Coturnix japonica: one gene and its partner. The protein of the gene in region 2 binds, or shares a complex with, the protein of the main gene of each other region. Links are inferred from orthologs where the notes say so. Each region holds a gene or a part of one and is shown on either strand. Other genes may lie near its edges.

Region 1 (4,407 bases), on a different chromosome or scaffold from region 2:
TGTTCCAGTGCGTCACCACCCTCTGGGGGAAAAACTTCCTCTTTTTCCCTTCTCACTGTGCCAAAAAATAGTAAGCAAGATAAGCAGCAGCATATTAAAATAGGGCTGTCCTGACAACCCACATTGATTGGGAGGGTAAACGATATTTGAGTGATAAAAAGAAAGGGTATCCCTTCTTTGTATTGACCCATCCATCTCCTTGAAGTTTGCTTATTGGTTATGACACAAAGCTGAAGTTATCATTGTCTTCCACCACATTCTTGTGACAGCACTTGCACCGTGGCTGGAGGACAGAACAAGCAAACACAGGCTGACACACCATGACAGACACAGCATCACACGCTGGTAGCTGTGCAGCTGGTGAGGGAAGCCATAAGGAGCAGGCAGCTCTGCGGCCAGGCCCAGCCAGCAGCAGGCCCTGCAGCCATCTGCAGATCTCCTGAGCCTCTAATCACTTTATAGCTCTAATTACTTTATGCTCTCAAGGCTGGAGTCCCACGCTGGCAGCTCAGCAGGACGTCCTGCAGGGACACAGCGGGTGCTGCCTCCTGCAATGTTTGCCTTCAACATGAACAGGTCGGGCCCTCCCAAGGACCTGGGCAAGCCTTGAATTCTTTAGCAGGTCGGTGAAGGCCAAGCCCTGTGAGCAGGGCAGGACTTGGGGTCACCTAGAACACGCTCAGGTATCGCGAGGGCTTTATGTGGGTGTTTGACCTTGAGGATCAACCAGCAGCACGAGAAGTGGAGCTTTATTGAGGGTGTGTGAGGTGCCAGCACTGCTCCAGGTGGGGCTGTGGGCTGTGGGTGCTCATGGTGAGCTCCCATTACACCCGCAGCGCTCCGTCCCAAAGGCCTTAGCACGGCACGGCCAGCAGCAGCTCCGAGCTGCGGTGCTGCCCATGGACACAGTGCGGGCTGTGTGCAGCCATGTTAGTTCAGAGCAGCCACGTGTGGAGCTGGGCAATGACACAGAGCAGCCGCCCAGCTCCATAGCGACAGCCAGCACCGGGCACGGGGCTGAGGGCCTGACTGGGCCTAACAGCCAGCACAGCTCCCACATCTCAGCTCTCTAACCGCACACCGCCCCCCATATCCGCCCGGTCCCTTCCCGCGCTGTTCGTGTCCCTTTAAGACGCTCCCGGTTCCCTCTGACGTGCGATCACGTGACTCCTCTCCCCACAGCAGCCCGGCCCCGCACGCATGCGCACTGCGCCCCCAGCCGCCCCACCCTCTTTGGGGTCACGCTGCGCGGCCCGCAGTGCGCATGCGCGGCTCCCCCCGTCACCCCGCGGTTCCCCCCCGCTACTTCCGGTCCCGCCGTTCCTCTCCTCGCACGTTTCCGCCCACGCGGGAGGGCGGGGCTCCTTCCGCCCGCTCTGCGCATGCGCGGTGCCGCCCCGAGGCCGCGCGGCGGGAAGCTCTCCGCTCCCCCCGCCCATCGGCGGCGCGTGCGCGTGCAGCGGGGCGGGGCGCGGTGCGCATGCGCGGTGCGGGCGGAGGGGAAGTGATTTGGGCAGCGCGGCGCCTTCCGGCGGTGCGGGCTGAGGGAGCGGCGCGGAGCGGAGCGGAACCGGCTCCGAGCGAGGCCGGCCCCGACGGGACGGAGCCGCGCTCCGGATCTGCCTCGTCCCGGCCCGTCCCGCCGCACGTGAGCCGAGGAGCCGAGGAGCCGGGCGGAGCCGAAGCGGGATCCGGGCTGACCCGCCCTCCGGGACCGGCGGGCGAGCGGGGCGCGGCGTCGGCGCGGCCCTCGGACCCCCCCGCGTTGGCCGGGCCTTCCTTTCCTTTCCCCCGGCCGTTCCTCCGTCCCGCTCCCCCGGCCGCCGCCCCATGCTCGGTTCCCGCTGAGCCGCGGCCCCGGCCCCGCTCGCTCGGGCCGCCCGGGGGCTCTCGCCGCCCGCACCTCCCCCTCCCCCCGTCCCCGCCCCGCTGCAGGCGCCGGGCCCTTGGATGCCGCCGAGATGGGCAAGGTGCTATCCAAGATCTTCGGCAACAAGGAGATGCGGATCCTGATGCTGGGGCTGGACGCGGCCGGCAAAACCACCATCCTGTACAAACTGAAGCTGGGCCAGTCCGTCACCACCATCCCCACCGTGGGCTTCAACGTGGAGACGGTCACTTACAAAAACGTCAAGTTCAACGTGTGGGATGTGGGGGGGCAGGACAAGATCCGGCCCCTCTGGAGGCACTACTACACGGGCACGCAGGGCTTGATCTTCGTGGTGGACTGCGCCGATCGCGACCGCATTGACGAGGCCCGCCAGGAGCTGCACCGCATCATCAACGACAGGGAGATGCGGGACGCCATCATCCTCATCTTCGCCAACAAGCAGGACCTGCCCGATGCCATGAAACCACACGAAATCCAGGAGAAACTGGGCCTGACCCGGATCAGGGATAGGAATTGGTACGTGCAGCCCTCGTGTGCTACTACAGGGGACGGACTCTACGAAGGGCTGACATGGTTAACGTCCAATTATAAATCCTAATGAGAGTAACTATTTAGTCTACAAAGAATTAAAGAGAAAAGAAAAAAAAAAAAAAAAGAAAGAAAAAAAAAAAGAATAAATGACCCGCCCGGCTTTCCGGAAGAATGATTCTCTACAGAAAAGTAAAACAAAAGCATCCATAGGATTACGATCACCTTTCTCCAATGACCACCCTTTCCTTCTCCACACCTGACTGGATTCCTGTTTTAACTCTCCTCGCTTGGCGTTAGGATGCTCTAACCTCCGAATGTGACACGAACACGAGCACTAGATGCTATGGCAGACCTCGGCAAACAGGGGAAAGACACATTGTAGACTTGCTAAGTAACTTTATTTTTCTCTCTCTCTCTCAAAGCCCTTGAGATGGTTTGGTTGTTCTGGGGCCGGCTGGGGGAGGGCTGCCGTTCTCAGTGTATGCTTTTCTGGTTCGACTTTTTTGATGATATTTTTTGTTCCTCTCTCACTTTGCTGTAGATTGCTACTCTTTTGCCTTCATGCGGAATATGTTGATAGGTCGACTTCATCTAGTAAACGGAAAACTCTTGCTTCAAATCAAACCGCAGTCTGTCTTTTTATATTAAGGACTTTTTGTAAAGTTCTGTTAATCTGTAACTGAACAGTGACTCTTGGTCTGGCTCCGTATCTCAGCCTCGTAACGAGACCAATTCCTGCCCGCGGTGGCAGATAGGAATACCATTGTAACACGTTCAAAGTGCATATCAGGCATCGTGTTCACTAGGTAATGTAAGAACTGCTTTGAAATGTCAGCTGTGAAGTTCTGAACCATACATCATGCATGAGAAGGGATGCAAATGAGTTCCCCATCCTACATGGCGACCATATAGCGAATAAAACACGAATGATGTAATCATAGTTCCAGGGTAGATACTGTTCCGTTTCTGTCTTGCATTGCCAGTTTAATGATGTTTAGCTGCAGTTTTTACTCCTTCGGTCAGTCTCCAGTTCGATGTGAGACAGGTTCCTTCCAGCAACACGCAGCAATAACCTGCAAGCGTTGCAACAAGTTTTACTCCAAATTGGCGGGTTGGGGCAGAAGTCGAGCACTGACTTGCCTGCCCCGGGATGAAGGCAACGTTGCTTCATCCTCGGGCCTCTCGATCTTAAAGGATTTCTCACTTTTGGCATCACCTTAAGGCATCTAAATCTCCACGGGGTTTCTCATTTCTGAATGTGTGGCATGGAGAGAACAGACAGAGCCCGGCTGCTCGAGCTGCGGTTGTGCAGCGGGGCTGAGCTGAGGGCTGAGTTCCTGCATGGCCGTGCAGCGTCGGCCCTGAGTTGTTGCTGCAGTGCTGTAGGAAGGGAACCGTGTTGGCTGTCTGAAACCCATTGAGTAACTGCCAATGAGAGCGGGGTGGAGAGAGTGAGAATACGACTATGAATGTAAACTTCCATAATTAGTTCTTAAAGGGCAAGCAGCTCATTCGCCGTGCCACAGCCTGCAGGTGTGGCTGGCAGAAAAACCCCACCCAGAGCCAGTAATGAGTGTGAGGTCTCAATCAAGTGTTAGTGCTGGCCGCAAAACATACTAAAGCAGCTGGTTCTGATTCAGCCTTAAGGATTAACTTCAGATTTCCTCAAGGAGTTAAACTCGATTGGGGAATTCTAGGAATGTATGCTACAAAACCAGAAGAAAATGGCTTTTTTTTTTTTCCTCAAGGATATAAGTTTGATGTGAAATTGGGGCATTACGCTACGGTTGTGCAGCGTTGACTCTGTGTGCAAAGTCCATTGTGTATGGAGCTCTTACCAAAGATGAATGGGAAGATTAACACACACATACAAAATAACGCTGAATTCACTTCTGGAATTGAATGTTTTGGACCATGTCGAAGTAACTTTGGACCATGTCAAAGTAACTTTGGACCATGTCAAAGTAACTTTGAATCTGGTTCCA
Region 2 (3,812 bases):
GCAGACTAACTGAGGTTTCTACTTGCAGAACCAAATTTTCACATACAGCAGGATTTGACTAGCATTCCACCCACCCTTCAACTTCATCTGAAATGAGAATTGCCTGACTCATAACAGGAAAAGAAAGCCCGTGACAGCAAGAGGTATAAGAACATTACAGTTTCTCTTATCAACTTACCTAACATTTTGCTTACATAAGGTTCAATGTCCACATCTTGCAGATGTTGATACGTGTGTGCATGATAGAGACGCAGGGTAGAGTCCAAACGAATCGACACCCATACCCCATCACCCACCCATGCCAGCTGTCTCACTTGGCTTTCTCTTCTTGGGTGTGCATCAAATGACTTCTATAAAAGATTGGATCTTGAATTAGAAGATAAATACAAGAATACAAAGGAATTCTGTGCTACCCTTACATGGTCAATATTGGTAATTTCCTTAAGTCATTTACTACCCTCTGATTTGTAAGGCCACTAGCAGACACTCAGTGCTTAGTTTGGTCGGTATTACCATACGATGCTGATAAGCAGTAAAAAGGCTGATTTGCCTGCCCTGAAGTGTGACCTCAAAGCCACAGTTTCCTGCTGCATCCTCATTTATGTAAATTCCCCAGTCAGTTGTGATTTCTATCTTTTCTATCTCAGAGCCTTTTCAGCATGAGGTCTTCTAGTCACTGCAGAACATATATATACCCCAAAGGTGTTTTTCTTCCCAGTTCTGTCAAAGCCTTGCTCTTGCATACTGACTCACTCCTGTCAACACAACCTATCCAGCAAAACAGTTCACTATTGTATCAATTCTTACAGGTTTCCTTGCATATATAGTCATTTCACAAACAGATTCAGAATTGGGCCCTTAATATTCTCAGAGGAGCTGAGCAGTCACCCTCCTGAAGTCTGATCCATGTCACAGACCAAATATAAGAAGCTGAATTATTAATATTGCTAATTGCTTTCATAAACCACAGGATCTTCATGCACTTGTATAATCAGAACACTGCAGAAACCAGCTTACACACCTTACATAAACACAATACTCCATAACTGGAGGGAGAGTACATTCAAGATTAGCACTTACAAACCTCTAAAGTATGCAGAGAGACTCTGAAGAAGGTTGTGGGCGGGTGGAGAACATAATGAATAAGTAAATATGCGTAAATGAAAAGAATGAGCTTGGATCTAGCACTGCAAGCTCTATAGAGACCTGAAAGGACACTGACTAGTTTTCTGGCCAGGACAAAGTAGGGAACTAAACCCCAAATTAATCAGTTTCAACAAATGAAAACTGCATTAAATTTTTTCGGGATCGTTACATCTTTGCAAAATTAAGAATTACTTCCCAAAACAAATTTGTTGGCCTATTTAAGTGCTGATGAACAAACATTACTCTCTGCAGTTACTCAGCAGTCTGTAACATGAGATGGCATTAAGACAAAACATTTAATTATTTTAAACACCATTTTAACTTGCCTCTATTTTCATGGCCTTAGGTTGAATAACATGGATTTTGTTCTTGTAGCCACACCAGACTCTGTCATACACAACTGTCATGCATCTTATAGAATGATGCGGCCGGCCCAGGTCTAAGAGGTGATAGTTTGTCAAATCCCACTGACCATCTTTAAAAACAGAAGCAAAATAAGAAAAAAACAACAACAACAAAAAAAAACAACAACAAAGCACAGGTTCCTATCAGTTTAGAAGTAACTTAAAAGCACAGCTAAATAAATACCTTAAGAATAGCTTCATTTTTCAAAAGCACTGTAATGATCTGGGAAAGTCAGTACAAATGCATGGGCAGGCTCCACGTTAAAAATACAGCATTTACTTGTATGAACTACCAACATCCCAAATGCTACTTTGTTTTTATATAAGGTTTACTATATTCACATTCCAAATATGTCAAAACATTTGTAAAAACAGAAATTACCTAGTGTTCAATGCTTTACTTGGTCAGGCATCAGTATATATGAGAAGCAGCTACCCACACGGCACCAAGCAATGGCTGCTTGACTGAGCATAGAGATGTTGGCCAGTGCATCAAGATTTATTTTTAACATGTTGTTAGACCTTAGAGTGGTGCCTGTTATCTGATGGAAATCACACTAAAATTGGTCACCCAACGCCAAATGAAGCTCTGCTGCAGACACCAATATTTGCTTGAGATACTTTAAGGGATTGTAAGCCATTAGAATTGAAAGGAAGAAAACATCACAACTTCACTCAAGGTGCATCTTTTCCATTATTTATATCAGTGAACACCAGGAATGGTCATTTCAACTACACAAGGGAAAAGAACAAATGAACAGGGAGCCTGCAGAGAGAAGCCACTAGATGACAAGTTCCAATTACTCTTCAGACATTCCCCTGTAGATCCTTATTCCAGAGGCTGAAGAACAGAGTCTGTCCCAGAGTGATGTGGACAGAAGTTCTACAGAGATGCTCACAAAATTCTATGGAAGGATTTGGCCACACACAACTTTAAAGATTAATAACGGAGCAGAAGTCAAATATTGGGCAGGACTAACAGTGATCAATGCAGGCTTCATCAATGAGCTTTCTGTTGCAAGTGCAGATACCTACACTACTTTTTTGCTTCCTATGATAAGAAAGAATTCCAGCTATGAACAAGAACAGTGCAAATATTCTGTGGGAGTCAAAATAAGCCCACATTTCCCTCAAAGGCCATTAGTAACACTTACACTGCATTATATAAGAACCTAGAAACAGGCAGCCAGAAGGGCTGACAGGGTCACTTTCTTTTAAGCCACATAACAGACAGGACTACCTGAAAGAAAAAGCCTAACAAAAACTGAAAGAACCAGAGGATTACAGCTCTGCGAAAGATTAAAAAAGCCTTCAATAAAATAATAGAGGGAAGAAAAGAGGAAAGATCCCACTGCAGACCCATAATCCGAAGGAGACTATAACATCAGAGGACAGGACAATTTAATGCAGCTCACAATGTGCTTGATTTTCCTGCAAGGTGCACTTAGGGCACTTCTAGTAAATGTTATGTATAGACAGAAAAGACTTATGCTTCCATTAAAAAGAGTAACAGATGACCAAGAAGTCTTTCCCTCACTTTGACAGAAAACCTGAAGTATATTCAAGAAATGCTATTCCACCTTCAGATATTTGATAACATAAATGGTAGTGATCTTTTCCAACCTGCCTTCAGGAATATACCATTCTTGTTGCTTAGAAACATGGCATCACAGTTTTATATACGTGTATATATGTATATATATAAACCATGGTCACTATTTAGTTTAGCAGTTCATGAAGAGAAAATCTGCAGTGGGTAGGAGATGCACAGAAGTGCAAGCAAACACAGGGAAGGGGGCAGAGGTGCACACAGTTCATATACCACATTCAGGACTTCACTCATTCCCTATACCTTTAAGCACCTTAAACAACTTGTCAGAATACGTAGTTGTGAGTTCAAATATAAGAACCTGGGTGTCTCAGAGCAAGAAGAGGGGATTCCTAACTGATGTATTTAAAGTTTCCCTGAACTTAAGTACTAAAAAAAGTTCAAGTACCTGGAAATGAAAAAGAAATGAGATCAAGGATTCTGTAAAATGGTCACTAGGAGCACATCTTCAAAATGCTATTTATAAGTGGCACATTTACTTCAGAAGTACTGCCATAACTTCACTTTCAAGACCCAACGGAATGCTTACCAACTCCTCGGTGAAATATTGCTAGTGTTCCATCAGCTAGTGCAACTAATACTATTCCTTTCACATGTCTGGTAAAAGAAAGGAGGTACAAGAACATACACCATTAGGTCGCATTTCCCAAAAT

The links.
Region 1: the proteins of SPAG9 (region 2) and ARF6 are in contact, whole or in part, in a crystal structure (PDB 2W83), measured with the Homo sapiens proteins. The link is inferred for Coturnix japonica from reciprocal best matches to the Homo sapiens genes SPAG9 and ARF6. Residues at the interface, in NP_001124000.1 of Homo sapiens: Lys431, Asn432, Ile435, Val438, Asp439, Thr442, Cys443, Asp446, Val447, Gln449; in NP_001654.1 of Homo sapiens: Glu13, Arg15, Lys34, Phe47, Val49, Glu50, Thr51, Thr53, Lys58, Asn60, Trp62, His76, Tyr77, Thr79.

What each region holds. Positions count from the first base shown.
Region 1 is NC_029520.1:52,349,720-52,354,126, forward strand, and holds the start of ARF6 (ADP-ribosylation factor 6), read left to right. Parts: upstream 1-1,474; 5' UTR 1,475-1,961; coding exon 1,962-2,489; 3' UTR 2,490-4,407. UniProt on the Homo sapiens protein: GTP-binding protein involved in protein trafficking that regulates endocytic recycling and cytoskeleton remodeling. GTP-bound form plays an important role in the transport of multiple palmitoylated proteins form the Golgi to the plasma membrane.
Region 2 is NC_029533.1:8,785,801-8,789,612, reverse strand, and holds part of SPAG9 (C-Jun-amino-terminal kinase-interacting protein 4), read right to left. Parts: intron 3,757-3,812; coding exon 3,689-3,756; intron 1,622-3,688; coding exon 1,473-1,621; intron 351-1,472; coding exon 179-350; intron 1-178. UniProt on the Homo sapiens protein: The JNK-interacting protein (JIP) group of scaffold proteins selectively mediates JNK signaling by aggregating specific components of the MAPK cascade to form a functional JNK signaling module.